2 linked regions of the Saccharomyces cerevisiae S288C genome follow. The protein of the gene in region 1 interacts with the protein of each later gene in a pairwise test. Each region holds a gene or a part of one and is shown on either strand. Other genes may lie near its edges.

Evidence for each region.
Region 2: the proteins of CTH1 (region 1) and RNR2 interact in a two-hybrid assay, tested with the Saccharomyces cerevisiae proteins (one study listed by BioGRID).

Annotation. Positions count from the first base shown.
Region 1 is NC_001136.10:763,470-767,251, forward strand, and holds CTH1 (putative mRNA-binding protein CTH1), read right to left. Parts: upstream 1,687-3,782; coding exon 709-1,686; downstream 1-708. Other genes in the region: NUM1 (Num1p), read left to right, coding at 1-405; GIR2 (Gir2p), read left to right, coding at 2,237-3,034; ENT5 (Ent5p), read right to left, coding at 3,267-3,782. UniProt on the Saccharomyces cerevisiae protein: Binds to specific AU-rich elements (ARE) in the 3'-untranslated region of target mRNAs and promotes their degradation. In response to iron deficiency, promotes the decay of many mRNAs encoding proteins involved in iron-dependent pathways.
Region 2 is NC_001142.9:390,152-394,103, reverse strand, and holds RNR2 (ribonucleotide-diphosphate reductase subunit RNR2), read right to left. Parts: upstream 1,701-3,952; coding exon 501-1,700; downstream 1-500. Other genes in the region: RRN7 (Rrn7p), read right to left, coding at 1-137; YJL027C (uncharacterized protein), read left to right, coding at 1,855-2,271; YJL028W (uncharacterized protein), read right to left, coding at 2,458-2,793; VPS53 (Vps53p), read left to right, coding at 3,251-3,952. UniProt on the Saccharomyces cerevisiae protein: Provides the precursors necessary for DNA synthesis. Catalyzes the biosynthesis of deoxyribonucleotides from the corresponding ribonucleotides. RNR2 provides the diiron-tyrosyl radical center.

The sequences.
Region 1 (3,782 bases):
AATCCCATCCTAGAGAATCCTGCCAATACCAAAACAAAAGGTGTTGCCATTCTAGGAGTAGAAAGTGTCACAGACCCAAACCCATATCCAACAGGATTGTATCACAAAAGTATTGTTGTTACCACAGAAACTAGGACTATTAAGTTTACTTGTCCTACAAGGCAAAGACACAATATTTGGTATAATTCATTACGTTATTTACTTCAAAGGAACATGCAAGGGATAAGTTTAGAGGACATCGCTGATGATCCAACAGATAATATGTATTCAGGAAAGATTTTCCCATTGCCCGGCGAAAATACAAAGAGCTCCAGTAAAAGACTTAGCGCATCGAGAAGGTCCGTATCTACAAGGTCTCTAAGACATAGAGTACCACAAAGCCGATCATTTGGCAATTTACGATAGTTAAAAAAACTAAATAACTCTAAGTAAATTAAGAACAATAATAATCATTATTTCGATTTTTAGTCCTGTAAACACGTTTGCCACCGATGAGTAACACTGAAAGATCAGAGAAAGAAAAAAAAATTCTACCTAATGAAATAAATAAACTAAAAAGATTAAATTAACTAATTCTCATGTTAGTAGGTCACGAATTCTTTAATTTTGTTTTGTGACTGAAATAAATATGAAAACGATAATGAATAAATAAATAAGGAGAGGCAGCAGAAATACGCCAAATATTCAAAGGGCTTTGTTGTTGACCGACTACCAAGTCATCCTTTGCAATGCTTTAACACTAGTATGTAAGTTCCTAGGCTTACTCAAATTAGTGATATTATCGTTGTTGCTTGGGGCTAGGGAAGTAGGAAGTGGAGTCAACGCCGTATCCTTACTTCTTCCATCGTTAGCATTTTGATATATTTCAACGTCCTTATCATCACCGTGTTTGAAACAGCAACGCTTACCGTACGGACAGTAGCCTAACTTCGACCAATTTATGCAAGGTTTAGTTCTATAATTGTTTGATTTTTTCTTGAATTTCAGTTCATTAAGACCATGAGCAAATTGGCATTTATTTCCATACTTACAATAGCCTTTAATAGTAAAAGATTCACAGAGCTCAGTTTTGTATAAGGTCTTATTGACTAATTGAGGAAGCTGCAAAGGTGCCCTTCTACAAGGTTCCAGTTTTGTTGTTTTCTGAATTGGAAGTGTGTATGGAAGTCCAGTAGACTGAGAATCCACCTGAGATAGTTTTTGTAAATTCTCCGCTGTCAGGGGTAATGAAAATGCACTTGTCGTGTAAGTAGGGTTAATCTCAACTTCGAGTGACCTTTTCTTACGTTTTTTCTCAGTTGTAGCAAGTGTTGAGATGTTATTATTGCCTGCGAAAGGGTTATTAATAGGTAATGTATTTGTAGGTCTGGAATCTGATATGATCAAGTCTTTAAAATCTCCCAACGGATGATAACAGTTTGGTTTGGATGGTAACCAAGGAGAAGGCCTTGGTGAGTATTCACTTAAAATGTCCGTTTCATTTATATTATGCCCCTCGGAGCTGCTGCTGTCATCATTATCGGTATTTTCATTGAGCAGTGTCTTTATATAATATTCTTCGATTTCTTTAATCTTTGACTCGTACTCCTTGTTGAGATCAGAAAAGATCGAGGACGTAGTCGTTGAGGTCGAATTGGCATTCGGTATGTTTAAATAGTAGCTGTTTGGAGCAACATTCGGCATCATGGCTAGTGTTAATCCTTAATAGTTCTTATTGGTTGAGTTGCCGAAGAGACTGTGATATAGGGTTCTACGGCTTTACAATCAACTTATGGGTGAAGAGGCTAAATAAGATGTGACTTGTTAAGAGAGCAAGCGCAACAAGAGTGCAAAACCGTCACACTATGTCCAATGATCTACACTATCAACCTTTGAGTTAATGTTCTCTGATCCAGTATATTAGTAACTGCTCACACTGATCAAGAGCGTGAGAGAATACGAGCGAAAAAGAAAGAAGAAAAATTTGGGTGCCATTGGCACAGACCCTAAAAGAGATGTGAGAGAAGTGGGCCATATATGTATATTTTTCCCGAATGTCCTAATAAGTAATGATTGGAAATCCTAGGTCTATAAACTCGGGTAACAGAAGGTGGAAAATGAAAATTTTCTATTTTCCAATTGTAAAATCAGCAGGCATCGTTAGATTGGCTTTAAAGAGCTGAGTTTCCCATGCTGTCGGTTGGTATAATTTAAGGAAAAGCCCTCCCTCCATATCCAGAAGGCACTTGTTAATACTATGGATTATAAGGAAGAACAGAAGCAGGAACTAGAAGTTTTAGAGTCCATTTATCCTGATGAACTGAGGATCATAAACGATGAATACCCAAAGATTAAATTTGAAGTAGCCATTAAATTAGAGCTGGATACAGGTGATTCTACTTCTGTTTTAACCAAAGAGCACACTATAATCGCCGAATTCAAGTTACCAGAAAACTACCCTGACGAACCATGCCTGATTTCATTGGAAGCTCAAGAAGTAGCCCTCAATGACAACGAAGAAGATAACGAGGAAGATGAAGACGAGGTTGAATATGACGACCATGGTAATAAAGTACTGAAAAAGTTTGAAAACCTGCCAGATTTAATAAGCTTTAAGGGGTACTTGCCTGAATTAACCGTACAATTAGAATCGCAAATCGAAACCGATATGTTATTGGGTATGCAAATGTGTTTTGCATTGATTTCATCCATAAAAGAAAGATGTGAGCAATGGTATAGTGAACAATTGAATAAGCTCGAGAAGCAGTACGAGCTGGAAGCACAAGAACGTGAAAAGAAGGAACAGGCCAAGTTCCATGGTACTAAAGTCACAAGAGAATCGTACTTGGAATGGAGGTCTAAATTTCGCCAAGAACTGAAACTGGATGAAAGAGACCAGGTGAGAAGGATGAAGGCTCATCATGGGAAGCTAACCGGTAAGCAAATGTTTGAACAAGGCGTGGTGGGCACAGGCGACGAGTATATGGAAGAGGATGACGCGAGTGTAGATGACGTAGCCAAGGGACTTGCCAAGACCGAAATAGCAAATCAATAAATACTTGTGTACTTAAGTATTTAAGTATTTTCTTCTGCATGGATAATGACATATACAAATGTATCTATATAATATTTTTTTGATATTCAATAAAAAGAAAACTGACATTTGAAGAAGGAAATAGACAAGTTTTTAGTAAGATATTATTAGTGTATATATGGATACATATATCTGAGAATGAAAATTTGTTGACTGTATTGAATGTATTGGGAGATGAAGGGGTATTTGGTGATTAGACCAACGACTTGGAGTAAGAGAATAAGTCGGAAAATGCATCATTTCCCTTCGACTTGTCCTTTGTAGCCTGAGGACGGGCTTTTTGCTGTTTTTTCTCCGCAAAGGGCAATGATGTTTGCGCAGCAGCGGTGGTATCTGTGTCTGACTTTGGGCCATCCCAGTCAAGCAAATCATCTATTTTACTATTGGAAGTTTTAGGTGCTGTTGTGTCGGGACTCGTTTCGCTTTGGAAGTCGCCAAACTCATCATCATCATCATCACTATTGCTGTTGATATTATTGTTTTTGTTGTCATTATTACCATTGTCTATTGTTATATTATTCGTGGTGCTAGTACTATCGTCAAGATCGATTAAGTCAGGGATGCTATCTTGTTGTTGCTTTCTTTTCCTCTGCTGTTCTTTATTTTTGATCTGCTCTCTTAATATCTCCCTTCTTTGTCTTCTTTGTTCTTCCATATGAGAACGCCTGCGAGTATTCGAATTTGCTTCTGTTTCCACAGGAACATTGAA
Region 2 (3,952 bases), on another chromosome or scaffold:
TCTTCATCGTCGTTAAATTCCACGTCACCTTCCATAACGTGACCATATTGGCAGGTTCTTCTCCCATCAATGATACGCCAAAGCCGTGAGGGGCAGTTGTCTGTACCGCAGATGGGACCTCTTATGAAAGTAGACATCCTTAAGTGATGTAGGGGTATGTCCGAGTAGTTCGTTCAACTATTTTTAAAGACACATCGTTCCAGGTTTATATTCATATACATATGTATGTATTGTATAGGTTTTTTTATTTTTTATTTTTTATTTTTTTTTTTTTTTTTTTCAATTTTTTTAAGCTTTTCTTACTTTTCCGATGCCCTTTCCACTTTAATCAATATACGTATGAAATTCAGCCGAAGTTTCCGTTTGATAATATATTAGATTCAATATAAAAAAAAGTTTATATGATTCAGTGTATATATATATATATAAATAAGAGGTGCGAAAGCCCACATAAAGAGATTGAAGAGACTGCGTAAAAAGAAATATATAGAGAGATACTCTTAAAAGTCTTCGTTGAAGGTGAAAGCACCGGCTTCTTGCTTAGTCGACTTGGACATAACACCAGCCTTTTGGTAGTCAGAAACTCTCTTTTCGAAGAAGTTGGTCTTACCGGCCAAGGAGATGTTTTCCATGAAATCGAAGGGGTTTTCGACCTTGTAGTATTTCTTGTTACCGAAAGCAACCAACAGTCTGTCGGCGACGAACTCAACGTATTGGTTCATTAAGTCAGCGTTCATACCTAGCAAAGCAACTGGTAAGGCGTCCAAGAAGTATCTTTGTTCAATTTCCACAGCCTCGGTGACAATTTTTTCAACAATGGCTGGGTCTGGTTTGTTCTTCAAATGGGCGAACAACAAGCATGCAAAGTCGGTGTGCAAACCTTCGTCTCTACAGATCAATTCGTTGGAAAAGGTTAAACCGGGCATCATACCTCTCTTTTTCAACCAGAAAATGGAGGCAAAGGAACCGGAGAAAAAGACACCTTCAATGGAGGCAAAGGCAACTAGTCTTTCACCAAACAAGGCGTCAGCGTCTTGAATCCATCTTAAAGCCCATTCGGCCTTCTCACCGATTTCTGGGATGGTGTGAATGGCATTGAACAAGAATTCACTTTCTTTAGGGTCCTTGATGTAAGTATCGATCAACAAGGAGTAAGTTTCAGAGTGAATATTTTCAATCATGATTTGGAAACCGTAGAAACTCTTTGCCTCTGGAATTTGGACTTCGGTGGAGAAGTTTTCAACCAAGTTTTCATTAACAATACCGTCAGAAGCGGCGAAAAAGGCAAGAACTCTGGAAATGAAAAATCTCTCGTTTTCGTTCATTCTGTTGTTCCAGTCATGGATATCCTTAGACAAATCAATTTCTTCAGCGGTCCAGAAAGAAGCTTCGGCACGCTTGTAGGCTTGCCAGATTTCATGGTACTTGATAGGGAAAAGAACAGTTCTCTCCTTGTCTTCATTCAACAAAGGTTCCTCCTTTTCCATTTCCTTAAGTTTGTGACGGTGAACTTGATGAGATTTCAAGTAAGCCTTGTGATTTTCAGCGTCCTTGCTCAATTTCTCCTTAAGCATGTCTGACTTTACTCTGTTTTCCTCTCTCAATGTCTCCAATTCCTTGTTAAGGTTGGACTTGGAATCTTTGATTTCCAAGTCGGACAATGCATCGGCAGCAGCTTTGGAAGGGGTCTCTTTAGGCATGGTAATTGGACAAATAAATACGTGTATTAAGTTTGGATTCTTTGGTAGATAGCCAATCGAGGGAACAATTAAAAAAAAGAAAGAAATAAAAGACAAGAAGAAGAGCGAAAAAGGGGAAAGTGATGAGGAAAAGAACAATAGATAGATCCAGAAGATGATGGTAACGCGCAAACACTACCGCTATATATACCTACAAAACTCTCATTCTCTCATTTCCTGCTTCGTTCATTTCGAGTTTCCAAGGGTATGGTACGGTGCTATCTGCCCGTGCTTCCCCTCCTTTGCTTTGCTAAGAAAAATTTTCTTTTGTCAGCAGCAACAACACGCTACGCTCTGCGCTGTGCTACGAAGTGGTCTCTGTGGCAACGGGGACATTGTACCCATGCCCGCTCGCAGGGAGGTCTGGGTGTGGGGCGTGTGCGACCTCGTTGCCATGGCGATCGCGCGTGGGTGTGGTCTTTCCCCAAACGGTTGCCCGTTGCTCCGGATTTCGCATAGTTGTCGCGTAAACAAAAAACACGAGAGAGGGCGGACGGCGCTGAATAGTGGAAGATCGCGCGATGTCAAGTAAATAAGCTTGTATTTGTATTTGTATGTGTTTATGTGTTTGTGTGGTTGAGAATTTTATTTTCCTCCTAGTTTTTTCTTTTTTGAGTGCGGAGGGGCAGTGCTCTAAACTTTGCCTGCTTCTTGTTCGACTTCGGCTTCCTATGCAGAACGCAAAATCGCGTGCGCGAGGAACGAGGAAGACAACGCTTTAGATTGGCTTTTTCGTCGCCCATGCCCGTTGCGATAGCGATATGATGAGAAATCGATAAAAGGTTGCACCAGTACACCGCACTTTCTGGCGTGCTTGGATCTGGCTTGCGCGGCCTCGTGCCAGTAAGTAGAAAAGTAGTAATATGGCATGGCGAAAGAGAACAAAACAAGCAAAGCAAGCGTAATGCACAGCTGTGGCTAAAAAAAGAGCACAGAGGTGAAGGGAAAAAAAGATAAAGAAATTAAGGAGGTTGAGAGGGCTTGTGTGTCGATGCTTGGTGAGGCGGGACGTAACGGTTTTTTGTCTGTAGGCACTTCTACCCCACAGGGCCATGAATCTGGCCCGAAACCGTTGCGAGCGTGCCAATTGGTGGTGATATCTTTTTTCTTCCCTTTTTTTTTGTTTTCCGTTCTGTTATGTTCCTTCATCTTGAATTCACTAAAGGGAACAGAAGAAAAAGTTGGATATTAGATAAGCGGTACTTTTCTACAGGTCTAGTATTATTCCTCGGTTGGAACAAGAAATAGTGCTTCAGTAGCTCAGTAGGAAGAGCGTCAGTCTCATAATCTGAAGGTCGAGAGTTCGAACCTCCCCTGGAGCATATTTTTATACGTATATCTTTTTTCCCTCTATTTTGTTTTTTTTTTCTTTGTTTTTTCGTAGCTAGTAAAGAAGAGAAGGAGACCTAAAGTGTATATATACTTAATCTGCGATCATTGAAAAGTCGCTAGCTTATTGTCACTTACTGCATTTTCACAACATCTTCCATTTTTGTTTTCTCAGAAGGACAATGCTGGAAGGTACGGTAGATTATGACCCGCTGGAAGATATTACCAATATACTTTTTTCAAAAGAATCCCTGAACAACATAGATGAACTGATCAGTATTACCAGAAGCTACAAAAAGCAATTGCAAGAGGATATTCTCAAAGAAGAGAATGAATTGAAGGAACACCCTAAAAATTCCGCTGAAATAGAGGCTTCTCTGAGGAAAGTTTTCCAAGATTTCAAAGAAACTCAAGATGTCTCAGCCTCCACCGAGTTGACGATATCGAATCTGACAGAAGGTATCTCGTACCTGGACATTGCCAAGAAAAACCTCACCCACTCTTTGACTCTTTTCCAAAATTTAAAGATATTGACAGACAGTTACATACAATGCAATGAATTACTCTCACAGGGCTCATTCAAAAAAATGGTGTCCCCTTATAAGATAATGTGTTCGCTTGCTGAAAACACATTCATCTCTTACAAATCATTGGACGAGATAAACTATTTGTTGAGCTCCATTTCAAGACTGAAAGGAGACACTTTGTCCAAAATTAAACAAAACTACAATGCGCTCTTTTCCGGCGGCAATATCTCAGAGCATGATACAGCACTCACTATGGAATTGCGCGAAGGTGCCTGCGAGCTACTCGACTGCGATACAAGTACGAGAGCCCAGATGATAGATTGGTGTTTGGACAAACTTCTCTTCGAAATGAAAGAG